2 linked regions of the Coturnix japonica genome follow. Each later gene encodes a partner of the first gene's protein in a complex. Links are inferred from orthologs where the notes say so. Each region holds a gene or a part of one and is shown on either strand. Other genes may lie near its edges. The genes, in order: RAB11FIP1 and RAB14.

The links.
Region 2: the proteins of RAB11FIP1 (region 1) and RAB14 are in contact, whole or in part, in a crystal structure (PDB 4D0G), measured with the Homo sapiens proteins. The link is inferred for Coturnix japonica from reciprocal best matches to the Homo sapiens genes RAB11FIP1 and RAB14. Residues at the interface, in NP_001002814.2 of Homo sapiens: Glu1252, Ile1255, Asp1256, Asn1257, Leu1259, Val1260, Met1263, Pro1267, Asn1268, Leu1270, Arg1271, Ile1272; in NP_057406.2 of Homo sapiens: Leu28, His29, Ile44, Gly45, Val46, Glu47, Phe48, Gly49, Trp65, Arg72, Arg74, Ala75, Val76, Ser79, Tyr80.

Annotation. Positions count from the first base shown.
Region 1 is NC_029537.1:3,593,642-3,609,373, reverse strand, and holds the start of RAB11FIP1 (rab11 family-interacting protein 1), read left to right. Parts: upstream 1-5,221; 5' UTR 5,222-5,284; coding exon 5,285-5,625; intron 5,626-6,378; coding exon 6,379-6,438; exon of another isoform or gene 6,439-6,445; coding exon of another isoform or gene 6,446-6,513; intron 6,514-7,990; coding exon 7,991-8,433; intron 8,434-8,887; coding exon 8,888-9,665; intron 9,666-9,997; coding exon of another isoform or gene 9,998-10,004; exon of another isoform or gene 10,005-10,647; intron 10,648-10,653; coding exon 10,654-12,534; intron 12,535-13,121; coding exon 13,122-13,227; intron 13,228-14,290; coding exon 14,291-14,509; 3' UTR 14,510-15,732. Other genes in the region: prolactin-releasing peptide receptor-like, read left to right, coding at 1-259, 1,275-1,902. UniProt on the Homo sapiens protein: A Rab11 effector protein involved in the endosomal recycling process. Also involved in controlling membrane trafficking along the phagocytic pathway and in phagocytosis. Interaction with RAB14 may function in the process of neurite formation.
Region 2 is NC_029532.1:6,859,614-6,875,358, forward strand, and holds the start of RAB14 (ras-related protein Rab-14), read right to left. Parts: upstream 9,900-15,745; 5' UTR 9,694-9,899; intron 2,549-9,693; 5' UTR 2,542-2,548; coding exon 2,490-2,541; intron 1,878-2,489; coding exon 1,824-1,877; intron 372-1,823; coding exon 194-371; intron 1-193. Other genes in the region: GSN (gelsolin), read left to right, coding at 13,122-13,391.

The sequences.
Region 1 (15,732 bases):
TGGGCATCTTTGGCAACTACTTGCTGCTCTACGTCATCTGCAAGAGCAAGAAGATGCACAACGTCACCAACTTTTTCATTGGGAACCTGGCCTTCTCGGACATGCTGATGTGTGCCACCTGCGTGCCCTTCACCCTGGCGTACGCCTTCAACCCACAGGGATGGATCTTTGGGAAGTTCCTGTGCTACTTTGTGTTCCTGATGCAGCCCATGACAGTCTATGTCTCTGTGTTCACACTCACGGCTATCGCAGTTGACAGGTAAGAGGGTACAAGGGGGTGACATAGGGTCCTCACTGTGGGCAGGATGGGTGCTGTCCCCTTAGGCTGCTTGGTGGTGTGGCTTAGGGTGCTCAGAGCCCCTGAATAAAAGTTCCACTGATCCAAAACAGGAGGCTGTGCTGTCCCAGCAACATCATTGTGCCCAACTCAGTAATGGTGCAATGACTGCCAAGGGAGCTGATGCCTGTGTCTGCAATGTTCCCATGCCACCAGCTCCATCATAAGCACAGCAGGGATGGGCTCCAGCGGTGCCCCAGTGCAGCTTTCTGCCTCCACCTCAGAGCAGAGAGTTTTTCCTCCTGGGTTTTCATCCTTTGCTGCACCAATTTGCATCAAAATTACATTGTGTTCTGTCACCTGGATGGAGAGTGCTTGTGCTTTCTGAAATGGACACAGGCAGGACCTGATTGGGAGGGGGGTAGGGGAGATAGTATGTATAAAAACTGTTTCCATAGATACATGGCTTCATTAGAGAAGCTGCACAAGCCAGGCAGAGCCCAATCCACTGGTATTGGGGGAGAGAACCCTAGAGCAAAGGGGGAAGGCAGAAGCAGGGGAGGTTGAGGTGGGATAGCTGAGAAGACACTGTGGAGTTGAGCTGGTGGGCTGAGATATCACTGAGGAGTGCTTGCCCTGTTCTTTTGCTCTTTATCAAAGCTACTTTTTGGGGGTGAAAGTAGAAATTTGAGCTCTTCCCACTACAGAAGCATCCAGGAAATTATGGTCCTCACCATGAATTGTTGCTGTGCTTCATCTTGTGTGGATTCATGCCAATCCCTTTGGCTGTGGCTAGAGCTCCAGCCCATGCTGTGCCCTGACCACAAGCAGAAGGTTCAGTCTCTCTATCAGTGGGACACAGCTGTTACTCAGGGCAGAATGGGAAGGAGCCATGTGAAATCCCAGCATTGCCGTGATGATGAGCTGGGGTGAGAAATGTGCCCTAACCCTCCAGCCCCACACTTCAAGGGGTGTTATGGGGTGCTCTCCCCCACAGGTATTACGCCACTGTGCACCCGCTGAAGAAGCGCCTGTCGCTCACCAGCTGCATCTACGTGGTGGGGGCCATTTGGCTGCTGTCCTGTGCTCTGGTGGCCCCTGCAGTGGCCCACACGTATCACGTGGAGTTCCAGCAGCAGGGCTTTGCCATCTGCGAGGAGTTCTGGATGGAGCAGGAGGAGCAACGCCTGGCCTATGCTTATAGCACATTGATTGTCACCTACATCCTGCCTCTCTCTGCTGTCTCCCTGTCCTACCTGTGCATCTCAGTGAAGCTGCGTAACCGTGTGGTGCCCGGGCACCCCACGCAGAGCCAGGCTGAGTCTGACCGTGTGAGGAAGAGGAAGATCTTCCGCCTCATTGTGCTGGTGGTGGCTGCTTTCGGGGTTTGCTGGCTGCCAATCCACGTCTTCAACATCATCCGCGACATCGACATTGACCTCATCGACAAGCACTACTTCCTGCTCATCCAGCTGCTGTGCCACTGGTTTGCCATGAGCTCTGCCTGCTCCAATCCCTTCCTCTACGCCTGGTTGCATGACCGCTTCCGTGGGGAGCTGCGTAAGATGTTCTCCTGCGAGCCACGCATCCTCCCTGCCAGCCACTGTGCTGCTGCTGTGCTCTGAGCTTGGCACCAACACTGGGATGTCATTGTCTTGGATGAATGAAATAAGGCCCCAGGAGAGCCGGGAGGCGTTTGGTTGGGCTGTAGTTAGATGTCTGTAGTGCTAATTTAATAGTACGACTTTCATTAAATCTGTGATTGAGTGTTGGGAATGGAATTTCTCATGAGCTGGTTACACCTGGTGTGTCTCCATGTGTTCCAGCAGGATGGCCGTGTGTGCCCTGCGTGCATGGAGCTGTGCCCTTATTGAGTCATAGGGTCATTTGAGCTGGAAGGGACCCTTAAAGGCCAACTGCTCCAACTCCCCTGTCATGAATGGGGGCACCCACAGCTCTATCAGATGCTCAGAACCCCATCCTGCCTGACCTCGCGTGTCTCCAGGTTGCACCTCACCACCCTTTCTATAAACAGCTTTTTCTTTATACTCAGCCTAAATCTCCCTCTTTGAGCTTGAAACCATTTCCCATTGCCCCATCACAACACACCCTGCTGAAGAATCTGTCCCCTTCTTCCTTCCAGCCCCTTTAGATACCAGGAGGTGCGCTCAGGTGTCCCAGTAGCTCCGTGTCCCCATGACCCACACACCCCTGGAGCTGTCCCCATTCCATGCAGAGTTGCGGGCAGCAGAAGCCGTGCTGACCCTTCCCTGGCTCATTTGGCTGCTGCCTGGGTGCAATTTGCTGAGGGCTTGAGCCTCAATTTGCACCGCCTGTGATTGCACATTGTGTACCTAATGGAGCTGGCTATTTATAGCTGATGGGCTCTGCAAGGCAGGGATACAGCTCCGGAACTGCTGCTTTCATACTTAATTCTGCCTGCTGGAGGGGCTGCTCACAGCCATTGCCCAGAGGGGAGGGCAGAAATGTGGGGCAACCCATGTGAATATGGGGGGTAACATGGATAGTGTGGGGGGGAGAGGGTCCAGTGTGGGGTTCACAGCCCAGGTGGGTCCTGTGTCCTGAGGAAGAAGAGGTCCTGGTGACAGGGATGGATGAAGAAGGGGTTGGAAACATTCCTGCATACACCTGTGCACAAACATATACCTGTATGGACATGTACCTATACACACACCCCTATATGCGCACACACACATGTACCTGTATGGGCACATGCCTATGGAGACACATGCAACCCTTTACACACACATCTGTATGCACACCTGTACAAACATACACCTGTGCACAGACCTGCACACACCAGTACACACATACCTGTACACACACACACCTGTATACACACATCTGCACACATACAGCTGTGCACACACCTGCACACCCACTTGCACACCTGCACACACACACCTGTATGCACACACACACCTGCACTCACACACCTGCACTCAGACCTGCACACACACACCTGCACACACACACACACACCTGTATGCACACACACCTGCACACACACTCACCTGCACACACACACCTGTATGCACACACCTGCACACACACCTGTACACACACACACCTGCACACACACACCTGTATACACACACCTGTCCTCACACACCTGCACACACCCGTATACAAACACACCTGTATGCACACACCTGCACGCACACACCTGCACACACACACCTGTACGCACACACCTGCACTCACAACTGCACACATACACACCTGCACACACACCTGCACTCACACACCTGCACACACAAACCTGTACACACCTGTATGAACACACACCTGAATGCACACACCTGTCCTCACACACCTGCACTCACACACCTGCACACACACCTATATACACACACATCTGCACACACACACCTGTATACACACACACCTGTATACACACACACCTGTACTCACACACACCTGTACTCACACACCTGCAAACACACCTATATGCACACACCTGTATACACACACCTGTATGCACACACCTGCCCACACACCTGCACTCACACACCTGTATGCACACACCTGCACGCACCTGTATGTACACACACCTGCACTCACACACCTGCACACACACACCTATATGCACACACCTGTGCACACACCTGCACACACACACCTGCACACACACACCTGCACTCACACACCTGCACACACACACCTGCACTCACACACCTGCACTCACACACCTGCACACACACACACACCTGTACACACACACACCTGCAGTCAGACCCCTGCACACACACCTGTCCTCACACATCTGTCCTCACACACACCTGTATACACACATACCTGTACTCACACACCTGTACACACCTGTATACAGACACACCTGTACTCACACACCTGCACTCTCACACCTGTATACACACACACCTGCACTCACACACCTGCACTCACACACCTGTACACACCTGTATACAGACACACAGAATCACAGAATCACAGAATTACCCGGGTTGGAAGGGACCTCAAGGATCATGTAGTTCCAACCCCCCTGCCTGGCAGGGCCACCAAACATACACCTTTACTAGATCAGGTTGCCCAGGGCCCCGTCCAACCTGGCCTTGAACACCTGCACTCACACACCTGCACTCTCCCACCTGTATACACACACACCTGCACTCACACACACCTGCACACACACACACCTGTACTCACTCACCTGCACTCACACACCTGTATGCACACACCTGTACACACCTGCACACACACGCCTGCACTCACACACCTGTATACACACACACAACTGCACTCACACACCTGCACACACACCTGCACACACACACCTGTATACACACACATGTGTACGCACACACACCTGCACACACATACCTGTATGCACACACCTGCACACACACCTGCACTCACACACACCTGTACACACACACCTGCAGTCAGACACCTGCACACACACCTGCACACACACCTGTCCTCACACATCTGTACTCACACACACCTGTATACGCACACACCTGTACTCACACACCTGCACTCACACTCACCTGCACACACACACACACCTGCACTCACACACCTGCACACACAGCTGCACACACCTGCACACACACACCTGCACTCACACTCACCTGCACACACCTGTATGCAAACACACCTGCACACACACACACCTGCACTCACACACCTGCGCACACACCTGTACTCACACACACCTGCACATACACCTGCACACACACACCTGTATACACACACACCTGTACTCACACACCTGTACACACCTATATACACACACACCTGTACACACCTGTATACACACACACCTGTATACACACACACCTGTACACACCTGCACACACACACACCTGCACGTTGCACACTCAAGCCCCGCCCACCACCCACAAGCCCCGCCCCCTCTCCTTAAGCCCCGCCCACACCACACATCTCGCGAGATCTCAACTCGGGGCGCGCACAACCCCGCGCCGGTAGCGCTCGGCTCCTCATCTCCCCTCAGCCGCCGCCATGTCGGCCCCGGCCCCGCGCTGGGTGCCCACCCACGTCCAAGTGACGGTGCTCCGAGCCCGAGGGCTGCGATCTAAGGCAGCCGAAGGGCAGGGCGGCAGCGATGCTTACGCCGTGATGGCGGTGGGCCGCGATAAGTTCTCCACGTCGGTAGCGGAGCGTTGTCAGGGTGAGCCGCTGTGGAGAGAGGAGGCCACGTTCGAACTGCCGCCTCCGCCGCGGCCTGTCGTGCTGCGCCTCACCGTGATGCACCGAGCGCTCGTAGGCCTCGATAAGTTCCTGGGACGGGCCGAGGTCGATCTGGCGGCGCTGAGGGAGGACGGAGGGCGGCGACACAGCAGGTGAGGGGATGGAGTGATATGGGGGGTCGTTGGGGGGCTCTGAGTGGATCCTGAGGGGCTTAAGTGGATCCTGAGGGGCTCTTGGAGGGGCTCGAGTGGATCCTGAGGGGCTCAAGTGGATCCTGAGGGGTTTAAGTGGATCCTGAGGGGCTTAAGTGGATTCTGAGGGGCTCTTGGAGGGGCTCTGAGTGGATCCTGAGGGGCTCGAGTGGATCCTGAGGGGCTTAAGTGGATTCTGAGAGGCTCTTGGAGGGGCTCAAGTGGATGCTGAGGGGCTCTGAGTGGATGCTCAGGGGCTCAAGTGGATCCTGAGGGGCTCTTGGAGGGGCTTAAGTGGATCCTGAGGGGTTCGAGTGGATCCTGAGGGGCTCTTGGAGGGGCTTAAGTGGATTCTGGGGGGCTCTTGGAGGGGCTCTGAGTGGATCCTGGGGGGCTCTGAGTGGATCCTGAGGGGCTTGAGTGGATCCTGAGGGGCTTGAGTGGATCCTGAGGGGCTCGTGGAGGGGCTCAAGTGGATCCTGAGGGGCTCTGAGTGGATCCTGAGGGGCTCTTGGAGGGGCTTAAGTGGTGCTGGGGGGGCTCAGAGCACTGCTGGGACCTCCTGAAGGAACCCGACCATCCCATGGGGCTGCAATGAGGACCCAACGGTGTGGAGCTCAATGGGGCTCTGCTCTCTGCTGCTGGTGATCACAGCGAGGCCTCAGGGCTGTGCTCAGCTTTCCTCTTTCAATATTTCTATGTGAGCGCCAGCAGGTCGCACAGAGAGCAGTGGAGTTGTATAGAGGAGCTCTATACTGACAGCACATTGTTCAGGTAGGGAATGAAGGCGCCGTGCTGCCAACACTCATGGATTTGTCTTAATGAATGTTTAATGGCGTGTAAGAGCAGGTAATTCGGTGTTATATGGGCTCATGTCACTGCTGGTGGTGCTGTTAGGTGTCTCCTTTAATAAGCAGTGCAGCTCTGTGTCATACTTACACCTTTGGACATACACTGCGGTGCATTGGAACCCCTGGGGTGGTTCCTGGAGCTGTGGGGTAGTGGCAGCACTTAGTGATGTGGTTTGAGGCAGCACTGAGTCACCTTCCTCCTGTGCTGTTCACACCGGTTTGGTCAGTGCTGGGTCTGGGTCGTATTTGTTAACAAAGCTTGTGAAGTCCTAATTAGCACATAGCTATCATTAAGTCCTGTGTCAGGCTGTAATGTGTTTACGCACAGAGCCTCGTGCTTACAGGCAGCAGAGGTCAGCGAGTCAGCATGGGCCCCTTTCTTTGTATTGCTGGTTGTCTGCAGCTGAAATAAAAGCCTTCTATTGATTCATTTTTTGCCTATGCAAATACAGGTAGCTCCTGGAAACTACACGATGCAGAATGGAATCTGCCCTGTGCTTCACTGGGATCGAACATGGGCACAGAGGGGTGCCCAGGGTGCTTCCCACAGCCTTCACTCATTCTCTTCTGCTTTGTTTTGTTCTTCAAAGCAAATTGCTTTTTCTTGTCCTCCTCCATTGCTTCCAGTGCACCCTGAAGTGTGAACTCGATGGAGTTCTGCCCATTGGAGGCAATGTCAGTGTTTTCCTTCCTATCACCTCGGTGAAGGGAGGACGTCTGCAGCTCTCTCAATAGACACAAAACAAACAAATACATCAGCATACAGCACTGATAACTTCCATTTGCTGGCATTACTGTGCTTTGAATGTCATTAAGGAGGACGATGTGTGGAGCAGGAACTGAGCAAGTGCAGTGCAGGCAGGTTGTGGGTTTGCAGCTTGGTTCCCATTCTGTGCTGTGTTTCAGAAGGGGATAAGGCTCTGCCTGTAGCAAATCTCCTGGTTTGACCCAGTTGTTCTCTCATAGAGCTCAGTAGAAGTCCCAGACGTTCTGTAACACTTGTTTTGGATCTTGCTATGTTGATTAGGGGGTTCTTTAGCTTAAGAAGCATTACCATAGCTGCTGCAAAGGAGCTGGAATGAAAGGTATGAGGGTGTGGGAGGCATGCGTAACCTTTCTGGTACAGTGTCAGCAGATCCTATTGCACCCACTTCAAAGCCTTAATCTGAATTTCAGGAAGCCTGAGGAAAAAATGTGGCAGAGCTGACTGACAGTGCATTCCATGTGTTGGTTTTGAACCCAAACAAAATGACAGATTTCACTAATAACTTTCTCTTCACAATCAGAGGTGTTTTCACATGGTTTCTGCAGTCATATGACAGTGATGTCACTGTAAGATTTAAAGGTTTTGCTTTTTTTTTTTCCCCCTGCACTGTAGGCTTTATGCATTCTTCTAACATCAGCACCCTGTGTGAAGCTATTGGTGTGGCTGGGGAGCTTGTTCAGGAAAGAAATCTCATTGTTTTTTTTTGCAGGTGGTACAAACTACGCTCCAAACCAGGGAAAAAGGAAAAGGAGAGAGGAGAGATCGAGGTGGACATCCAGTTCATGAGGAGCAACATGACGGCCAGCATGTTTGATCTGTCCATGAAGGACAAGACCCGCTCCCCATTTGGCAAACTAAAGGACAAGCTGAAGGGGAAGCGGAGCAGTGGGCTCTCAGACACAGCCTCAGCCATCGTACCCAGCACGACACACTCCCCAGCTGATAGTGAAGATGAAGCACCTGAGAAGGAAAAGAAGAAATCCAAGTTCAAAACGCTGTTTTCCAAACCTGGCCTGCGGAAGAATTCCCTCTCACAATCCATGTCGGTGCTGCCCACACCTCAGCCTGTGGATGCCGGGGTCAGGCACAGGCCCAAGGATTTCCATCTGGAGTGGGACGATGAGGACTTGGAGACCTCTCCAACCTCAGAACGTGAGTATGCAGCCTGCGTGCATGGGGCTGTACTCAGAGCCATGGAATCATAGAGGCATCTGAGTTGGAAGGGACCTTTAAGGGTCATCTGGTCCAACTGCCCTGCAGTTAACAGGGACACCACAGCTCCATCAGGGTGCTCAGAGCTGCATCCAGCCTGACCTGGAATGTCTGCAGGAACTGAGGATAGCAGATATTCTTAAGCTAAGCTTACCTTTGGCTGGCTTAGAAGCCATAAGCCTAACCTGCACATGGCAGTGGTGTGGTTCCATAGTGGATATCTGGTGGTTGTAGGTGTTGAAAAGCTCAGTGTGCAGAGGGCTGACAGCATTAAGGTACCCAGAGGATGTGGCCAGTCTAGTCACACCCACATTGTTGCTGTGATCAGTTAACGGGCTTATATCAAGCATCAGAGAAATCTTGAATTTCTTCCTATTTTTTTCTTTTTTTCCAGGAACCTTTGAAATTCCTCTAGACGAGGAGTCCTCTCCTTCTGTATTTAAACACATTAAAGCAGCGACTTTAGACACCAGGCAGCTAAACCAACCAACCCCTGGCAACACCAAGAAAGAAGGGCTCTCTTTATTTAGTGGCCTTAGGTCTAAAAACGATCCAGTTTCCAAGTCCAGTTTGTGTATCAATGGCAGTCATGTTTATATGGAAGAGAAGGACAGCACTCCAGCTTCTTCCCCCTCTCCTCGCAACTTCAGGAAGAAGCAGGTCTCTGCTTCAGAAGAAAACCTCTTTTCCAGATCTACTAAAGGACCTGAGGAGATGGGAAGAACATCTCCAAGCAATGCTATGTCTGGGTCTGCATCCTTGGAGACCTTTAAAGCTCTGTCTTTGCCATCATATAAATTGCTGAGCGGTGAGGAATATGTAGAAACCAGTGTTCCTGTGAGTGTTGAGGTTACCAAAGAGACCAAAAAAACGGACCAGAAAAAGTCTTCCTTGCTTTCCCTGGTCACGGGGAAGAAGGAAGCAGCTAAAAACAGTGATGCTGAAAGTATTCCGGACAGAACTCAGAAGGAAGAGGAGAACAAAGCTGCAGAAGAGAAAAGCGAACAGGAGACCAAACGTCTCGAACCTCCAACAGATTTAAGCAGAGGAAATCCTTCAGCAGACAGTCAGCCAGAAGCCTTCACAAGTAAGCAGCCACTCAACCCCTTTGAGGAAGAACGGAAGCCTGAAAAAGCAGCAGCACCAGCAAAGGCCAAAGCTGTCAAACCCAGGTCAGTGGCTTTTGCTTCAAATGCTGACATAAATAGTGACATGCAGTGGTTGTGGGTTTAGTTAGGGTGCTTCCTAGCACAGAGCAGCACTTCTGAGCTTGATGTGCTGCATGCAGCAGCATCGTGCTGTTCAGGGGGAGGGGGATTCCTGAGGGCTTGGAGCCATTGGTCACAATCATTTTGGTTATTATTTGGTTATTATTCATATTTTTCAATATGAAACAATAGATTGACATAGGGATATTACCAATAAGTGATGCCAAAATAGCAGCTCTCTGAGTGCAAGCAGCTTTTCAGGTTCTGGGGTAAGTTTCTTGCTGGCTCTTTTGCAGAAACTAACATTCTTCTGTCAGAGCTGCGTGGCTTGGAACACATCCAAGGGCTGAAATATCAGTTCTAACACCTCTGCTTCTCCCTTCTATTATTTGCTGTGGTCTTCACAAGAGTTAACCTTGGAGCCCTTCTGCTTTTGACACGGTTCACAGCAACAGCAAGTGTATCTATGGCATTTGTATTCAAGGCTTTTTCGGAAATTCTGCTCCTTCATATGTCTGGTTGTGCATATGTGACTTCATATATATATCTGTGTATATATGTGTGTGTAAATACATTTGTCTTACTAATAAGGCTATGTTTTGCCTGCCTCTGACTCTCTGTTTTCAGTGCTTCTTCCTGTTTAAACATCTTGCACATGAGGTGTCTTACTAATGGAAGTGCTTGGGATGCAGGAGTTGAGGTCACGCTTTAAAAGCAGACGTGGCAGTAATTTGAGTGTGCAAATGGCAGCAGGAGCATTCTGACATCAACCAGGTGTCTGTGAGGAGCATTTAAGCATATTTACTGGTGTCTGTTAGATAGGCTTCTGGCTCTCTTGCTGTGTAATTGATCTCCATTGTCAGGCAGTGGTGCAGTCTGGTGCTGAAGCTTGTCTGTTGCTGCTTCAAGTTGCATCCACAGGTGACATGTGAGTTTTTTGTCCCTTTTGCAGACTGGGCCTGTCTTCAGAGGAGGAAACCAAAGCTACTCTTCCTACTCTTGCACCTGATTCCCTTCCTGCTTATCTGTCTTTGCACCACATCAATAGTGACAACAATCCCTTTGTTTCTAAAATGGAACAGAAAGTACCAGACTCTGAGGGCATTACTTCTGCATCTCTTCCTTCTTTCACTGCAGAGCATTTAAGTGGCAAGAACCCCTTTAATCCCAGCTGGGGCAGGGGAGCTCCAGCCCTGGGTACTGACCACGTTGCCATCCCTTCATCCCATCACCTTGCAGCCTCTGCTCCCAAAGGGCAGATCTCTCATAGTGGCAATAATCCTTTTGCTTCTGAATGGGGTCGGGATCCTGAAGGCTCTGATGCATATGCTTCCACGTCTCCTTTGCCTGCGCATTCTCTCCATTCTGGTGGTCATTTTAATGGCAATAATCCATTTATATCCAAGACTGGATGGGGTGTGGATGTGCCAGGTCTCACAGCTGTCACTGCTTCTTCCCCTGTTGGCCTTCCTGGTGATGGAGACAATTCCTCAGCAGGACTTTCTGCTGATCTGAGCTACTCTGCTGTCACTGCTTCAGGGAGCTCTTTGAGTGTGGCTTCAACTCGTAATGTAAATGCTGTAGCAAACCCTCCTGGCACTCCTGTCGACCCTGGTGTGGCTTCAAAGAATCAGTGTGATTCTGTACAGGCGCAGGTGGGCACTTCTTTAGATAGAAGCAAGTTAGTGCTCTTTGCAGAGAACAGTGCTGAGCAGCCACCTTCCTCTGAGAGTGAGCTCAAAGAGAAGCAGGAGGTGTGGAGAGAAAAGAGGAGGGAGGAGCATTCACCCACATCGGATCCCCAGGATGCTCCTCCTGATACAAATGAGTCATCTCCAGTAGGATCTGTGAACCCAGTTCACAGTGCTCACACACAGCCTCATCAGGAAGCTGCTGCAGGGAGAGCTGGCAGGGAGGGGGCTGTCACACCACAGCCTGCACCACGGCTGTCTTTAATGCAGGGATATCCCCGAGTTTCTCAGGCTGATGAGTTAAGTGTTGGGCCGTCAGGGGAGGGTGAGGGCTCTGCATCCGGCCTTGCTTTACAGAATGAGAAATCCCCTGGTGCTTTTGGGTGCCTCCCTCAGAATGGCTCAGTGACAGCTCTTGTCCCACCAGTAAAGCTTAGAGCTGACAGCAGTAGCAGACGTGTGAGAAAGGAAGGGGACGAGGATTTGTTTGATTCTCTTACAAATCTGAAGTCTGCCCTTTCAGTTACTGGAGATCACAACATGAGGCTGGCTGCCCTTCCTGCTATTCCTGAGGCAGGCTCTGATGATGAGCTGCAGGGTGACTGCCAGGAAAACCACGGCGTTGCTGCAGATGATCAGAACATTTCAGAGTCTGTAGGTAGAAAACCTTTGCATGAGAACCAGCAGGAGAGCTCTGATAGCTCTGCTGCAGGCGGAGTAACTCTGTCTGCAGGAGGAGGAAGTGCTGTGCCCGTGCTGCCTGCAGGAGGGCACGGCCATGAAGTCAGTAAGCAGGCACCTGACTCAGGTATGACGTCTCATTCCAGTGAGCACAGTAGTTGTTTTGAGAAGCAAGTAATAGATACTGGTGTTGGGGAGCGTGCAGAGAGTGACTTCTTTGAGCCTTCTGTTTCCTCTTCCTCCCTGTCGTGTTCTTCCCAGCCCTGCTCCTCCTCTCGCTCCCTCTCCTCTGACACCCCAAGTCAGAGAGCAGAGTCTCCGAAAAAGCCAACAGCAGAGGGCTTCGCTGATAAAGCAGGAAATTCTGGCAAGAAGAAGCTTCTTCAGGCATGGGTTTCACCCTCTGAAACGTACCCTAACCAAACTCAGCAGAGTGGTGAAACCATGTCTCCTAAGCACAGGTGAGAGAACATGGGAACTGCATCGAAGGTATCTCGGTGCTGAGAGCCTTGCTTTTGATGTGAGCTTTGTCTTTTCTTGCTCTGTTACAACCAGCACCACGAATCCTGAGCAGTTAAAACACCTTTTATGGCACAAAGTCAGATCAGATAAGTTGTACTACCTGTGTGTCCCAGTGTAGCAGAAGCATTTGGTATTTTGCAAGAACCACAAGTATGCTCTCATTAAGAACTCACTCACTGGTGCACAAAAGATGGCAATAACAGCTGGTATTACTGCCCTCTCCTGTGGGCTGACCTTGCTTTTCCTTTGTGATGTTGTTCAGGATATATTTCCCTTGTTACTCCTTTATCTCCAATGCCTTAAGTCAGTAAAGGCAGTAGAAAGAATAGAGTGCACTAAGAGAAGCCTGTAGCTGAGGCAGAGATTTCTTATCTTCCCAAAGGCAAATCTTTTATCTCTGGAGTGGGAGGGAGTGCGGAGAAGGACTTTTCCCCATTTTTTTTACTGTATTTGTTTTCACTCTGAAGATGTAACGCCAGTATTGTGTGTACTGCATGAATGACATGAGCCCTTTGTAATGTTACAGACTTCATCCTGTGAAGCCAATGAATACCACAGCAAATAAATCCCAAAGCAAAGACCTGAATGTCATCAGCACTATGAATGAGAAGCTGCTTGAGATGAACATAAAGGTAGGGTGGAGAGCAGCACTTCAAACTCAACTCCTGTACTTTGCTTAGGATCATGTCTCTTGTGTATCTCACGCAGGACTGTGCTTGTGCTCAGACCATGGGGACTGTGCAGTTTTCTTTCCTCCTTTCTTGGAGGTGGGGACATTCTTTATGATTTTCTTGCAACTCATCAATTATAGCATCAGAGCCTCCTGTTTGAGCAGGGGTTTCTGAGTGGAGGGGATGGAGGGCTGCAGCCTGACTGCCTAGAGGTGAGCAGGACATCCAGAGCTGTATCTCTGAGTGACATTGCTGTGCTGCCCTGGTCCTGCTTGTGACATGCAGGATCTGCATAACTTGGATCAGCAGGAAAGATTGGGCAAATTAATCACTGTTGATATGCAAACATCATTAGTCTGCGAAGCTTCTTTTTGCCCTGAAGTAAATTTGTGGATCTTAAAGATGGGGAAAAGGTATCCTTGGCATGTCTGCTGCCTTGTAATGTGTTGCATTAATATCCTCTGCTTCCTAAGAGCATCTCTTTGCAGCTTGTATAACCACTCAGATTTATAGTGTGGGTTATTTTACTGATAATCTTGGTCTCAGGAGACCTCTAAAGCTAATCCTGTGGTGCCTCCTTCTGGTACAAGTGGAAAAGAAGAAAGTTTTATTTAAATACTATTGACTGACATGTTAAAATGTTTGTCAAGTTTAAGAGCTAAAGGCAGAGTTATCAGACAAACTGTGCTGTGTGTTTGTGGTGGTAATCTGAAGAAGACTGAAACGCCTCAGGCCTATGTGAGGGTTTGTGCTGTTTAACCTGAATTTGACCTCCCTGGCTTTCAGCACTTTGGGTCTGAGCAGTCATAAAGCTTTAATGAGCAGCATTCCAAAATGCCATTTAGATTGAATGTAGCTCTACAAAGGTGGGAAGCACGGTAATACTTCTGAGGAGCAGCTGTGTGTTGGCAGATGGAAATGTAAAGCAGTTCCTCACTGCTTGAACTCCAAACCATCTCCTAGAGAGCATTCAGTTCTTGTCTGCAGTGCCCTCGTGTGAGGTGACCTTGCTTTTCTTTTGCAGAAATACAGTCCTTCAGATCCTGCCTACGCTTATGCTCAGCTCACACACGATGAGCTGATCCAGCTGGTCCTGAAACAGAAGGATACGATCACCAAGAAGGATCTCCAGGTGCGTGAGCTTGAAGACTACATCGATAACTTGCTTGTCAGAGTCATGGAAGAAACCCCAAACATTCTTCGTGTTTCAACTTCTGGAAACAGAAAAGCTGGAAAGATGTAGGAGCTCTCTGGACATCGAACAAAGGACTGAATTCCTGCCAGTAGAGTTTGATTAATAAGGAGACAATGTGAAGTAGGTGGTACTGCTGTGCTGCCTGCAGACAATGAGCTCTTTTCTCTTTCTGGCTTGAGCAGCCATCAGTTGGAGTAGTGCTTATATCAGCTCTTGGGTATGGAGCCCAGAAGTAGAGTCATTTACCATATTTATTTTTTTGGTCTTTTTCCATTATTTGGGAAGATTTGTTCAGGCATTGAATCCAAAGTCTGATTGCGATAGGAAGGATGAAGGGTTTGTTGTTGTTTTGTGTGTTTTCCTTGCCAGCAAAGCACTGCTGGTCCTTTGTTGAAGGTTTTTCATCGTTGCTTTTTAGCAGCTTTGATAGATCAGTTACTCATCTGTCTGCATCCCAAGTTGTAGTGCAATATAAAATCACTTACAGTAGAGCTTGAGGATTTGATTGCTTTTGCTTTTATCTTTTGACAACTACACTGGAGGAGTCCAAAGCTGAATGGTTCAGCACAGAGCTGTGTGGGCTGTATTTTAAAAGCAATTAATGTCCTGAAGCAGAATGCAAGTTAAACCTCAGACTGGAAAGGAAGAAGCAAAGTGAAATTAGTGATACAACATAAGCAAAGCAGTTCTCCAAGGGGAAGGTTTACATACAGGGTTTTAATCACAGATATCATGGGATGTTTGTCTACCATAGGAATAAGGAGTAGCAATGGATTTGGGCTGATGGTACATTGTTTGGAAGCTGTTCTCCTCTGGACTTAAATTCCTGATTCAAAGGTTGTTTGAACAGGGAAGACAAAGGTACAAACATCTGGATTCTGCCCAGCACTCCTGAATTGGATTTCACTGTATGCATTCATGGCCTGGGGCTCCTGTATGAAAGTTCTGTGACAATTTTAGTGTCATTCCATTGCAGTTTATTCCATGTAAGTGCCTTGAATTTTGGAGCAGCCTTCAAGGGCGATCAGGCTTAAAACTCGTCTCTTTTTCTTATGTTCAGTGTAGAAAAGGAACCAAATTCTGCTCTCCCCCTGAGATGGGAGCAGTGAAGAGCACTCAGATCCAGCTGTGTTCTTTATGACTTGAGCTCAGAAAGGAATGAAGGTTTCACGTTGCTGGCTTTGCAAGACAATCAGACATTCCTTAATCTGTGGCTTCTTTGCAGCTCAGTAGAGACAGATACTTTTCACCATCACCTCAGATAGAGAATA
Region 2 (15,745 bases), on another chromosome or scaffold:
CAAGCACTCAGTTCCCTACATTTCATTTTGAGCTTTTTAACTACTCAGGAAAAGAAGGGTGGTAACCTTCACACAACATGACATTGAGTCCTGGTGAAGTCAAGGGGACAGACCAGACAGTGCATAAAGGCTGAGGTACCCAAAGAGCTTCCAGAGAACACAGTGATGATAGAGACAACCAGCAGCACCTTACCTGGTAATGTCATAGACCATGAGAGCTCCTGCCGCTCCTCTGTAATAGCTTCGTGTGACAGCCCTGAATCTCTCTTGTCCTGCTGTATCCCAGATCTGTAGTTTAATTTTTTGGCCACTAACTTCAATTATTCTTGTGCCAAATTCAACACCAATTGTGTGGGGACAATCCGCCATAACTGTCATGAAAAATAAGAGGGAAGATCAGTTCTTTCTAGTGCACTGTTCCTGCTACAGAGATCTTACTACCATCCCCTTTCTGACACCCTGAACACCTTCCTTCTCAAAGAAGGCGGCCTCCTTACAGCTACAGTTACTGAACTGTATCACTTAATGAATCATTTCCTGGACTGCTGCTTTAAGAATAAAAAGATTCCTTGCCTTCCCCAGTGCATTTACAACTGACTCCACTTATACCAGGAAGTATTGAGTCAGTTGATCCTCAGCCCTGTCCCCGCAGGAATGGTTGACTCTTTTAACACAGTAGGATAAGGAAGCTTTAGGGAATTACCAAGATTGAGTTAAAAGCCTGAAACAGCTGAGAAACAAATACTCAAGTTGGCTCAGACTGAGTGAAGTCTGTGATCATCCACAGAGACAATTTAATGCACAATTATCATACAGCAAATCAAATACTAAAAGGTTTCTGATTGATTACAATAAATCCATCCTAAGATGCTCATCTTCACGAGCAGTGAAGAAAATAGAGAAAGGTTGAATACCACCTTTATTCAAGAGTCCCATAGCAGAGATGCTTTATAAACCAGCTTGTTTGGCTGTGCCCCTTCTACATAACACACTGTAAGAACAAGTCACTGCCTGTTCATAAACGGAACCGAATGCAAAGTAGCACTTACACAAGTGGGTTTTCTGGGGTTTGGATTCAAAGCAGCAGTTAAAAACTCACTTCCTACTACAAAACAGGAACATTTAATCTGCAGCATGCACACAGTTACTGCACATCTAGAGTAGTGCAAGAGAAAGACCAGCTCCATACTAACAGATAGCTACAGACTTGTCCATTGAGCGTGAGCTACATGGGAAGTCGTAAGAGTTTGTAACAGCCACTGCAAACTCAATGCAATGCACATTAGTAGGAAGAGCTGAAGCTGATTCTTAGTTAGCTGTGATAGCGTACATGAAGAAATATTACAGTTGAGATGGAATGCTGAAAGCCTTGACCAGCATCACGCAGGAGCAGTCCTAGTGCCATGAGTCACAGCAGCTACAGAGAATGACAACGCTTAAATCTGCAGTCCGTGAAAAGTGAATCCCCCACCCCTTCAAGTACTTAACTTTTAAAACCTACAGCTGAGTTTAAAGCCATACCAGCATTAAATACACACATTTTAGACAATAAATCTCACTGTTTCATATCACAATTCCCTGGGAAAGCTGTGAAAACACATGTACCTTCCCACTCTTGGACAGGACTGGCATCATTCTTGCTATTACTACAGCAGCATTTTACTTCTATAATTGCAGAAGACAAAACAGAAGTCTGACCAAGCACTGTACAAACCTCCCCATGTTATGATATAGATCAAGCTCACCTATGACAGAAGCAGAAAGGCAGGAAAGAGAGATGAAGTACAGCAGTTTCAATGAGCACTGTGTACTGAAATACTCACATTTCTTTTCCGTGAATTGGTGAAGCAAACAGGACTTTCCTACACCCATGTCCCCTGTTACAGAAAGAGCAGTTAGAGCAGACACCGTGTTGTCGCAACAAGCACATTCTGCTCATCCCACACAACACACATACAGGGACAGGCAGCTGCTCCTTTCCCAGGTCTAACATGCAACTTCCTTGCTTCCTACACCTGGCTACAGCCTTCAAGATTTATCAGTGTTACAGCCAAACTGTAATTTTGGTTGCAGGTACAGAGCTGCAAGCAAGGGTGGAGCAGAAAATACACAAGTGACGATAACTGCATTACTGACTTCACACTTGTGTTTCACAAGGTCAGAATAAGGCTGACCTGCAAGAAACTGAAGCACAACACACTGAGTGCTCACCCTTCTCCTGTGTTACTTGCAACTGCAAGTAGAGGCTATCAAAAAATATGGATAACCACCCAGCCCCACTCCCAGCAGCACTGAAAGCATCTGCATTCATTTGGATCAGCTGCTAAAGCTTTAGGGCAAATGTGGGGATCTATGAGGGACTGAGGCAGGATGAGGAACTGCTCAAAGAGCTAATGCTATACAGCAAGCAACACGAAACAGAAGTCAACAGTAGTTTGGAGGCACACTGTTACACACAGATACTGGAGCAAACATATCTAAGTACTTACCAATAATGATGTACTTAAAGATGTAGGAATAGTTGTAAGGTGCAGTTGCCATCGTGGCACTGAAAAACAAAAACAGAATATATCAGAACTGCTACTTGTTTGAACTGAACCCATTTCAGCCAACTGAGCCTACGCAAGCCAAGGAAAAGAAAAAGAACACCACCTTCTCTCTCCCCAGCCACCTCCTCATTCACAGTCCAAGTGTCCCAGCATTCAGCAGAACTCCCATACCATGTGCTCAGAAATCCCATCATCAATAACTCTGAACAGAAGCAGGTTCTTAGTATTGACACCCATTCAGTATCATCAGGAAAACTTTCCAGCCACTTAAGGGCTCCAGCAGGCTCTTGGTTCAGATGGTCACCAAGCTGACCAGCACACTGTAGCCCAGTAGCTGATGAGAGCTGGAAATAAAGCCTGACTCCAAAAAGCAATTATCACAAAAGGTTTTATAAAACCAGTGGTTTGGAACAACAACCAGACACCTTTGGGACTCACAACAGAGACAAACAGCACAGCTTGCATCAAACAGCTAAGAATTACTTCAGACAGCACAGGAATGCTGCAGCAGCATTGACTGCAGCCTGTACATCAGTGGAGCAGCCCAAGTCAGAGAGAAGATGCTCAGGAAATCAGTCATCACATCTGTGGCTCCACCTGCAGAGCGTGATCATCCCAAAGCTTCACAACCCTTTTGTTTCTTTGTTTGAAGCAGCACAGCTCACTGATCTTATAGGATTTATTCACTAATCTTTGCTCTGTAGAGGATTTAAACGATAGCGTTAAAATTTGTTTGGGATAAATACTTTCAACACTGTGGAGTTTTCCTACATGTAGGAGGAATTAGAAGTGGCCTCAGCTGTGTAAACTGACTTATCACTACTGTATCGCATATGCAGGATTGCAAGTCTACGCTGCTCAGATTTATTATTTTATCTCAGAGCAAAACGACAGCTTTTGTGCCAGACTTTAATTTAAACAAGACCTAAGTGCCATCATTTAAGCAAACAGGAAGTTTCTATTAGGAATTCACCATTTCCTGTCCTGCTCCTGCACGGCAGATAACCAGCCATGAGCACAACTGTACTGCTCACAGACAACATGGCCCCAGCCCAGGAAGGTCCTTCCAGTCACGCGTCATCCACATGACAAACCAAAGCAGCACCTCAAAGAAGTGAACACAAAGAAACTCACAAGCTTGTACCTTTTTCAGAAGTACTTTTCAGTAGAAGGTAGTGTTTCCTCAGCCAACATTGCTCCATAGCTGTGAATCACTGTCTTAAGGAAGGTGACTGCCAACAAACCTCACTCACTGTGCACAGGCTGACAGCCACAGCTCTGCACAGCAGAGGTTTGGAGCAAACACCCCTATCTAGACCATGGAGGAGAACAACTCCAAGGGGAAGGTGAGAAACATCCACCACATGCCAGATCTGCACCTTCCCATTGTGTTTTCCTCAAGATACAGGAGTTCCAGAGGCCTTCTAGCCCAAGCAGCAAAGTACCTCCATTAAGTCCTATGCAGACACACACTGTTTTATTAATCTTATTAATTGTATTAATTATTTTAAGTGCTACATAGTCAACAGCAACAACAAAAAGTCTTGGAGAGTCATTCTTGTCCATGTTGGCAAAACCAGAATTCCCAACTAGGTGCTGCATGGCTCCAAGAACCATCATTTCCATCAAGTCAAGGTGATTTTACACCAACTTCTTCCATGGCCACGTAAGAAATGGCACACAGACACCCCACACCTCTGTCACCCCCAGGCCCCGCTCAGCACAGCTGCTCACAGTGCTCTGCAGCGCTGCACAGCAGCACAACTCACATTTGTGTTTCAGATGTGCCGCCCCAACCTGCCATCCAGCCAACAACAACTTCAGCCCATGTTTCCTACCAGCGAAAGAGTCCAGAGCTACAGTGTCAGCTTCAGTTCACACAGTTTGTTTCCAACACTGGCAAAGAAAGACAAGTAGCTGCACTTGAGACTTCAATGTTCAGGAGTTACTGCAGAAACAGTGTATACTTCAGAACACACAAATGTATCTTGCCCTGTCCCTCCTCTCCACCAGCCCCAGTTACACCTCCTGACCCATTGCACTACTTCTAACTGCTCTGCTGCAGTTCATTCTGATGGCAGACAAGGCTAAACCAGAGTACTAACCTGAGTACTATGAGGTACGGAAGTGAATAAAATTAAAAACAAAAGAGCTTGAGTAGGCCAACTTATATTTGCAAACCCTTTGGGAAGACAGCAGAAATGCAATGTTCTCCCCCACCCCCAAAGAAAACACATGCTACAGCCACTACATAAAGCTGAAGAGACTGAAAGCACCAATAGGAACCTAGTTTGACAGCTCTGCACCCTGTTAAGGCTATCTATCAACCTACATAGGTTTTCTGAAGGGAAAAAGGAGCTACCCAGCAGCTGTGAGATCCATCCTGAGCAAACCCCGATGTCCATCTCACACAGCACCCATTGGCTAAGGAATGCTAAGTACTCAGAAATACCCCACTGTAGTGCTTCCAAACACCTGACAATGATGCAGTGCACAAGGAAGAGGTCGCAGTGCCTATGCTTTTAAGAAGCAGCGCTGGAAGGTGGAAGCCTTTTTATTAAAAGCATGGGCAGACTGGGAGCTCTGTGCAGGCTGTGTCACAAAGTCTGGAAGGAGTCCTCACTGCTAAATATACCGCTCTGTTTACTTGACACCATTTCTATGTGCTGAGCTATGCCAACTTTCATTATACTCCTTATTTAAAGAGGTCTGCAACTGCACTACTTCGATATGAAAGAAACTGTCACTGCTTTGTAACATCTGCATCAAAATCAGTTCCCACTTCAAAGCAAGAGTTAGCAAACCACATCCTGCACTTGGTAACAAAGCCTGCTAAGAAACGGGTTGGAAAGGCCAACACCCTTCAAGCCATGTCTCACTGTGAGAACATCACCTTCACTCTTAGTGAGATGAGGCTGCTCTAAGGGTCTCCCCTTAGACCACAGAGCTCACATATTAGAGGAGATGATGTGCTTGCTGTCTGTAACTCTGGAACTAAACTATTCCACTTAGCAGCTAACAGCACATTAACCTACTTCACAGAGCAGAACCTTGTAACAACATTCCAGACTTCTCACAACTTCACCCCTTTCTTTGTTTCACTAAACGGACACACAGAACAATCCCTGCTGGAAGACAACCAAGTTCTAAATATAAAGCTGGATCAGAAGTGTGCAACATACAGGAAAAGAAAAAACCCATGACAACACAGAAGCCACTGAGAATTCAGCCTTAGGAAACATCCAAGCTCAGCACTCGCTACAGGCAAAAGAAGGAAGTTTAGACAAGAGCAGTGCACAGAAGAGCTCAGTAATCACAACAAATGTTAGCTACATGCTAATGCAGAGGGTTCATGTATTGTCAATAGGATCAGTTATCTGTAGAAAGTGGTGCTCTACACCCCTTCACAGCCCTCTGCTCCCTGTCATATTCCCAATACAGGGGTTCAGAGTGTTCCTCCTTGGTGAGCAGGAGTGGTGGCAGAAGGAACTGCAGGACTGAAGGAGTCCCATCCAAGCCTGCACAACCTACCTTCAGCCACAGCTGATGTTACACAACACAAAGTTAACCAGGCATCCATTCACTGGTAACAGAAAGCAGAAGTAGTTTTGTCTGGGAGCGTGGTCTGCCTGCCATCTTTCTTCCAGGAAAACGTGCCAACTTAGAACAAGTTCCAGCTCCCTTTCCCGAGGTAACGCTTCCCCAGAGCTTACAGCATTATTTCAGGGTGGCAACTGGCCAGAGGATCATGCTTCACTGTACACAGATCTCTGCTAGCTTCAAACCCTGTACGATTAATTTCTGTGTCACAATTAGGACAGGAATTTTTACCGTGTGTTGCTGTAATCCATTCTCCATACATCTTCTCTACCTCTTTATAATAAGAGAAGGCAGCCTTAACAAGATATTGGTGATGCTGGTATTTCTTCCTCTAAACAAGAAGCACCAGGCCAGTATTTTCACATCCAAAACTGCTTCAAACACCAGCATCTACCAATATAAACTGAGATAAGGTGGTTTGCTCTTATTATGAGTGTTATGGCAATGCACCCAGGATGAATTGTTAGCATCATACCCGTACCAGCTGTCACGAGGCCCATGCAGCTCCTCCCAGCCCAGCTGAGGGACACAGCCAATCAGGTCTGCAATGAGAATCATTTGCATAGAGAATCTTCACAACTTTATGCTAAGTAAGAATCTGTGTGTTATTAGGAGGGACTGGAACCTGTCATCACTGCATGTGCTGAATACCATTACCTGCTCAGCCCACATAGAGATGATACCTCAGCCTCAGGATGGTCTCAATATTACAGGCTCTCCTTAAAAACATACCAATGCAGCCAGACAACCACTTCAGTTAGTCTGGAGCCAGAGAGATTTGTATTTTACCCAACCACCCGGGAGGTTTGGGGCACTCCCCATGGATGTACTTCAGCAGAGGAACCTCAGAGGTCAAGTTCAGTCCCACCTCTATAGAAGAGAACACCACCACATCATCACTTCCAAATACCACAACTCTTTAAGGATATCAGAACTTGCATTTGTTCTAAATCCTCACACAAAATGAATGTGTTGTGTGACTCTGTGATAACCTTCCTTCTCTGCATATGTACTTGGGCGTCAACTTGCAATGAACACTAAGAACAGCAGGGGACAAAGGAGGGAAATCCAGGGAAACAATTGTTTCAACTTAAACTATTCCTCTGATGAAGAGTTTTGTCAAGCACATGAAGCAGAGCAGTGTAAATGGGATCTTCCTTTAGCAGGCTGCTGGAAGCACTGTCTGTAACTGCACCACTTGTGGTCTTCTGTAACATCACACTGTGACACTGGAAGGCAGTAATGGTTTTATCATCAGTTGATACACCCAAGTGGTGAATCCCCATCAGTCAGCTGGCTATAGGAAGCTGCGGGGTACCACTAAACTTCATTGTTGTTCTATTACACTCAGGACATTCAGATGTTCCTAAATATACAAACACCTCAGCCCTCATAAACAGAATGGCCTAACAGCCACCACTAATTCCCCTTGGTTCTTATTTTTGTATGTTCATCTGTAAAGAGCCCAACATGTAAGACTGACCCCAGAGCAGTGCCATCAGCAGCCTGCTAGCAGCTCATGCTCTCATAACATCACCTCTTGCTGGCCAGTTCCTTACTCATTTCTCAGCTCTTCCAGTCATCCTCTTTAGTGCCTCTGACTGGACTTTGCAGAAGCATCTGATGATGCACAGGACGATACATTTAGCTGAAGTGGTCTTCAATCAGAGCTTGCAGTCAGGCCTCTCATAATCTGCTTCTGAAGACCACTCTGCAGCTCCTCATTTCTCACACGTCCAGTCATTCTCTCTAGAAACACAAAAGGCCAGCAGCTGCTGGGCTGAGACTGGTGAGCTTGCAACTGAGCAGGACCTTCTTTCAGTTGTTTTTGAAGGAATATATTTGATATATACGATATTTCATGATCACATTACATACACTTCCTAGGCCTCAGACCAAGTTAGGATTTTGGAAGAACACACAGGCCAAGCACTCTTGGTTTAAAATAAAGAGAACATATGCCACCACCACTTTGATTCACCTCAACAGCTGTCCAGCTGCACACATTGTGGTGGTAAAGTCCTTTTTCACTCTACCAAGCTCTGCCATCTTGTTTCCTAAGCTTCCCACACTTAGATGCTGACCTCACTTCCGGGTTAGCAGACCTCACTTATCCAATTCTCCTCTCTCTATAAGAGGCTCCCACCTGCAACACATACCTACATAGGAGGCATAGGAGCGAAGTTCCAGAGATCTCAGATGAGCGTAGGGTCAGTATATACAAAAACCAGGAGATACTGTCAGATCGTAAATCAGAGCAGAAAGCAACTGCTGAGAGCCATTACCTCAGGAAGGAAGGGGGAAACAGTTTCAAAGAAACACTGAGGTCCAGCTCCTTTGTTGCAGAAACATACAGCAAAGCCAGAAACAATCCTAAGTTCCATTTGATGCACATGAGCAAGCAAGCAGCTTCAGAAGTTCAATTTACATTCAGAATCCCAGCACTGCCAGTATAACAGGTTTGTTTTCTGCTGTCCTTCACAATCCCACTCTTTTTCTCTTTGGCAGTCCTTAAAACATACGTATAAAGAGCTTCTTCCTTCAACTAAGATCCATGACTTGTTCAAATCCCTACAGGAAACTACTAAATTCTTTGTTAAATCATATTAGGCTACATGATAATTATTTTCTAAGCCCCTCAGGACTGGGATTTCCTTCCCATTCCCAAGCAGTGCCCAAGAACAAGAAGCCCTCAGTCCTAACCATGACAGAATGATCCCAAGACAAACATCCCACACCACAACGCAGGGTAACCATAAGAGCTACATTTCTGACTCGAGGTTCAAAGTGATTTAGGAGCTGGACAATCTACACCCAGGTGTGCTTCTACACCTGCAAAATCACAGCAGCACAAAACCACCACATTACAGAGTCCTCATCTAGGAACCTCCAGAGCGGAGCAATGCAGCCACGCCAAATCCCAACACAGACACGTTTTTCCTGCAAGGACAAAGCAGTATAATTTCAATTCCAGGCACAGCTATGTAATGCAAATAGGTGAAAGCAAGGAACTGCTGCTTTGGCAGCAGAAGCATTGACAAAAGGAAACGAAGCTGTTGCTTCCACAGATAGGAAGTAGCATAGATTCACCCCATGAGTTATTTTTCTATCTAAGTTCATTACAACAGCGCAGGCCAGGATAAGCAGAGATAACACCGCACATCAGCCACATTGTGTAACACACGCATACGGCAACCACACTGCAGCAATCACCGAGCTCACATATATGCTCACATACACCCAATGTGCTCCAGCACCCGCTGATGGCGCGGTGCACAGGGAGGCGGCGGCCGGCAGCGCACAGCGGCCTGGGCCTGCTCCTGCTCCCGGCTGGGCCTGCCCGCTGCACCTCCCAGGCCCCACGTCCCTCCGCCCTGAGCTGCCGCCGCCCGAGCGCGGCCCGCAGCGCCCAGTGCGGCACAGAATAGACCCGCACACAGCACCGGGAGGACGCGGAGCCACGGGCCGGGCCGGGCCGCGCTGCCGCCCAGTCAGTCCCGCGGGGCCTGGCGCTCCGTGCCGCCCCTCCCCAGCTCCTCCTTACCTGGGCTCAGGGAGCGTGTGGCTGTACAGCGTGGTTCTGCCGGCGACAGCCCGGTCCCCCTACGGGCACTGGAGCGCTCTGCTCGTGCTGGGCAGCGGCCGGGCCGGGTCCCACCTCACTCCAGCGCTCCCTCAGTCTCTGCTCCGCTGGCTCCACTGCGCCCCCATCACCCCCCTCCTTATCCAAGATGGCGGCGCCCCTCGCACGGGGTTTCCCCTCCCACTCTGGACGGGCTGCGGGGCTGCACAAAGGTGGGCGATGGAGGCGGGAAGGAGCCAATGGCGGGAAAAGCCCCGCCTCACAACGGCGGCGTGGGGCGGGAACGGAAGGGAAGGGCGGCAGGACTGAGCGGCTCCTCAGGAGAAGGGGCCGCCTCAGGTGGGCCGAGCTGTGTGTGAGCGCACAGCGCTGTGTCTGCTGCTCCATACGTGGTGGATGAAAGACTCAACATGAGCCAGCAGTGCGCTCTGGCAGCCCGGAAAGCAAATGGGATCCTGGGCTCCATCAGGAGAGGGTGGTCAGCAGGGATAGGGAGGTGATCGTCCCTCTCTACTCGGCTCTTGTGAGGCCCCATCTGTTGTACCGTGTCCAGGTGCGGAGCCCTCAGTACAAAAAAGACATGGAGATTTTGGAAAGGGTCCAGAGGAGGGACAGGAAGATGATCAGGGGGCTGGAGCACCTCCCCTATGAGGACAGGCTGAGGGAGTTGGGTTTGTTCAGCCTGGAGAAGAGAAGGTTGCGGGGTGACCTCACTGCAGCCTTTCAATACCTGAAGGGAACTTACTCCCAGGAGGAGAGTAAACTCTTGGAAAGGGCTGACAATAGCAGGACACGGGGAAATGGTTTTAAGTTAAAAGAGGGAAGATTTAGGTTGGATGTTAGGGGGAAGTTCTTCACTAGGAGAGTGGTTAGGCCCTGGAACAGGCTGCCCAGGGAGGTTGTGGATGCCCCGTCCTTGGAGGTGTTCAAGGCCAGGTTGGACGGGGCCCTGGGCAACCTGATCTAGTAAAGGTGTATGTTTGGTGGCCCTGCCAGGCAGGGGGTTGGAACTACATGATCCTTGAGGTCCCTTCCAACCCGGGTCATTCTGTGATTCTGTGTTTCCTACAGGGAACTCCTAACTGACCGCTCTCCATGCATCCCCCCCGCTGGGGATCACTCAGCATAAGCTAAATAATAAATATATCGGTAGGAAGGTACAAAATTACCATGTATTATTGCTGTCAGCTCACCTCCTTCCACAGCTCTTCTTATGGGGGTCTTACCTTTCAAATAGGTAACGCTGTGCAACAGCGCTGCTCTCGAATTTAGCAGTGCCATATATGGAGGGATTTGGACGAGAAAAATAGGTCAAAACGAGTCAGTGAGGATGAATTGAGTCAGTCAGGACGATTTCCACAAGAGGGAGTCGTTAAACACAAAACGATCGGGCTATTTTGACACCGTTACAGCCTGGTTTTCTGTCTGTCAGACACCCCGGTGCCTTTACACGCTCGGTATTCCCCCATATATTACCGACATGGACTAAGCTTTTTCTATAAAGAAGATGATTTTCAAAGGTCTTTAAGTTATGAAGTGTTGCTCCCTCCTGTGGCCACGGATATGGGCAGGATTACTCAGCAGCTCTCCAAACCACCTCAGTGTGAGGGCCGGGCTGAGAACACGCTGAACAGGGCGAAAAGTAGCTTTAGAATATACAAATAATCATTGTTACTTCTTATTTGCAACAAAGAAAGACGGAAGCCATTATCTAACCACAACAGAGGCCATCTTTTTCACGTGAAACTCAAACTTTGGGGCATATTTCATACCAAGCTGCTGTGTCGCATGAGCTGAAAGGCAATGCAGACTCGCCTTAAAGGGTCTGGTTTTGAATCCTATTCCAGAAGATTGGATAATGGCATCTTTACTGCTTTGCTTCTCGTGTCCTTGTGATCACATGAAAGCTGGCAGCAGTTTCTTGAGAGCGGTGATTGAGAAAAGGCTGAGTGCAGCTCATTCCTCCTGGACATCAGGGCAGAACCCAACAGCTGTCATTAAATCCCACTAACTTGGTAACAATAGCAGACGGCTGGAGATGAAACGCTGCCTATCCTCCCACCCTTCTTTGTGGGTTCCTGCCAGTTCAGTGCAGCACTTGGAATCCAGTTCTGAGTGTCTCTGTCTGCAGGCTGGCATTAAAGAGCAGCACCCAGACCATTCTGCTCCTGGATTTACTTTTTCTTACTTCTCAACATGGCTGTAAATAAATCAGGGGAAAAAGGGGAGAAAATCTACAGCCGAGACCTTTCAATGCAGCACCTCACAGCTATAGGAGGAGATCTTATGAAGAAGTGATACATAAAACACAACTGAAGGGTAAAAAAAAACCCGCAGCTGGCATTTATATGATGGCATGAAAGCAGCAATTCACAATGGTTAGGAAAACCTAAGTGGCCCAGCAGCAGTAACACAGGCTGGGAGGATCAGCAGGGAGGGCAGCTGAAGTAATGCATGTCTGCTTAGATGTGGTTTCTCCTTTTTGTTCCCCCAAGCCTCAGCTTCTTTTTCTGTCTGCGTCCAAATGTCTGTGGGCAGGAACAGAAAGCAGAAGCCTGGGATCATCCAGGAGCCATTCTGCAGTACTGCAATCTGTGTGAGGTGGGGCACGTAACACTGGGCCGCTCTGAAACGACTGGTGGGTCTGGTTGGATGTTGGGATGCCAGGTTCATCTTCTATCCCTCGCCATATCAGCTGCCTGCTGTACACAGCCCCAAACCTGCACATCAGACTTAATACCAGTGCGAGGATGTTTGTCACAACAGCAGTTCTGGTGTCAGTAGGTGCCAATCAGCCCATGCTCCCCATATGGCAGTGAATGTGGGTTCAGAAGGAAGTAAATCCCTGCCCACTTGTACACAGCAGGACCATCCCTGCAGGATTCCAGCACTGCAGAAGGCAGCAGCTCCAGCTGACAGCGGCTCCTTTGATACCAACTACAAAGCTGAGCAGCACTGCTTTACCTGAGTTATCTGGGAGATCACACTTAAATGTGGATGCCTGGTTCACTTCTTCAGCTTAACACCGTGCTGCATTCCAGCCTTTTTGCGAGCAAGCAGCCTGTGCCTCGGCACAACCCCATCACTACAGCAATAGAACTGTGCTGACTACCAGCAACACCCTTTCAGAGACGGGGCAGCTGTGTGGCTCCTCAGTACAGCAACGTGCCCACAGATGGTGCGAGCTGTGAAATGCTGGATGACTCAGTTACCATCCACAAATTCAGATCAGTGCTGCTTCCCATGGGCCAAAAGCACTGTCAGGAGCCAGCAGCAGGCACCTTCACGTGCTTACTTTGCCTTCTTTCCACTGTCTCCCAGCAGCTGCTGGTGCAGAATGAACTCTCCCAGCACAGGGCGCTGCAGGGTCCGCCTGTCCCGGTGCCGGGATGAAGGGCCGCATTGTTCTCCGGGCTCAAAGCAGCCTTGTTCCCGTGGGTGTGAGCAGAGCAGCCGGCCTGCAGGGACTGCGGGATGTGGGAGCGCCCGGCCGTGCCCGAGTTCTCTGCCGACCGCGTTCCAGCCCCGCGCTGCCCTCGCCTCGTGGCGGAGCACGAGGAGCTGCTCGCCATGTGACACGGAGCGAAGGAACGGCCCTTCCCTCCTCCACCCAGCGTGGGGACGGCCCGGATGCGCCCCGGGAGGCTGAGATGAATGAGGTAAGTGAGGAACAAAATGGTGGCCGAGGGGCTGGGCTGGGCGTGGTGGGGGAATCACGGCCGGGCAGAGCTCCACGGGGCCTTGGCCGGGGCGGGGCCGGGCTGGGGCGGGGTGCGCGCTGTGACCGCCCCCGGGGCTGCCCGGCTGTGCCCGGCCCCGCGCCCCGCAGCCGCGTCCCGCCCGCCCCGAGCGCCAGCAGCAGGTACGGCCGGCACCGCGATGGGGACAGCGAGGAACATTCCGGCACGGGGAGCGGGGCGAATCCTGGGGGCACCGTGGGGCCGGGCGGGCGGCAGCGGCAGCTCCGAGCCTGGGGCTGCAGGGGGGATGTGGGGATGTGGGGAGGGGCGTGGGGGGAGCGGCGGGACTGAGTGTCAGTTCCAGGCTCGGCTGCTCCGGAGCCGGTGTCCCGTGTGACGCTGCTCCGCAGTCTGACCTGGTGTTACACTGACAGCAGCACGGGGCGGATCGCCGGCCGCCTGCTGAGCATCTGCCACCGGAGCGGCGGGTGTGCGTGCTTCTGTGCCCGGGGAAACGGTGTTTGAACGGGAATTGCACTAATGTGGATACTTAAAGTTATTTGAAATGTTTCCTAGGAAAAGTGTTTAAAAAAAAAAAAAAAAAAGTTATGGGGATGACTTGTTTCAAGGAGGCCTCATTAGTAAGTAGATCCTCATTGAATAAAGCTGCTTGGAATGTTATTTGCTTTTGGATGTGGAACAAAAATCCGCCTTTGCTAACAAGGATGACTTTAGCATCAGTTTCCTCTAAGTCTCCTTTTTCCTTACTGATCATTGCAATTCTTTCGGTTTTCCACTACCAACTTTGCATGATGCAAGTTTCTCAGTGAAAAAATGTTTCCTTTGCTGAATTTCTGGCATGCTCAGCTCAGGGTCCTTCTGCTCTGGAGCAGAACATGGCTTTCAAGTACCTCTCATCCTCTAGGTTCCCCCAACTACCCTGCAGTGTCTGTGTAACTATGCTGTATCTGCCCAGCAAATGAATTGTTGTCCAAGTATTCAGGATCAGGTCTTGGCTACTGCAAATGGTTTCCCTCATCTTGTCCGTGAGGTAGTTTATTCCACACTCCGTACCACGCAGTGCAGAGAGCTCTAACTTTAACCCATAAGCTTGCAGGGAGAAGCAGAACCCAGCTCTGCTTGATGTCCTCTCCATGGCAGGCTGTGCCGTGCCGTGCTTCAAGGTGTGCCTGCGCACTGTGTTGTACTCTGCTCTTCACCTCCAGCACAGACAGTGGGAATGCTGTCCTCTGCACGGATGCTCCAGTCCTGGGTGTTTATCTGTGCCATCCATGGGCTCCACTGCATTGCTTTCTTGCTGGAGCAGCATGGAGTCGAGCTTCATGGATTTCACTAAAATCCAACACAGTGATAGGGTAGGAATGAAGTTACACCTTGTAGGTATATGTGGATGGTGGACTTAAATACTGCGTTTAAATACATGGATGGATTTTCCAGTGGTTGCCTGAGTGTTCAGATACCGCTGTGTTCTAGTGAGAACTGGGCACATGCAGGCGGTGAAGGAATGTCTCCTGCCCTCAGAAGAATGGATGCTTTCTTCAGCTTGATGAAATTCCAGAACTACAGGGAAAATAACACGGAAACTGAACCTGCAGACAATCTCTGGCTGCTTTTGAATGTCTAAAGTGTGACAAAGCAAAAATGCTACTGCTGGTTTCAACTTTGATTTTACAGGCACGAATCCAACCTGTTTGTGAATTTGTTCCTTTCATCAGCAAAGCAGGGATGTGAGATAACATTCTGCAGTCTGGTTGCACGGTTCTGTTACCGAGGGCAGTTGCTGCCAGCTCCAGCTGAGAGGCTGCGTGACTTGTTCCATGACAGGGCTGTTTTTGTAGATACTTTATGTATTTCTGTGAGTGCCTCAGCTCTCCCCTGAGTCAACATTGTGGCCAGCAGTGCCACTGAGGGGGGATGCTGCGTCTGGGAAGAAGAGCTGGTAAGAGCCTTGCTATGGTGCACAGAGCAGCAATTAGCTGTTTTCAAAGACCTGTGCTGAGCCAGTGCTTCCTCAGGTTCAGATAAAGTCACTTTTTGTATTCTGGGTGTTGTACAGTGTGCTGGTGGGAACGAAACCTTTCCTAAAATAGCCGTCTGTCTTATTTGGTGCTCAGGATTTCTATCTGCTTTTAGCTTGCTTTAGGAATGCAAGCTTTCCAGTTGAACTCCACACTCAGTCCTGCTGCTGACATGTTACTCATGCTTATGAAAGAAGATGTTGGATTGGGATCTGGAGCTCCACAAACCATTTCCCCCTTTTGCTTTGAAAATCTACCAGAAGGAATATTTTAGTGGTTGGTTTTTCTTCTTCC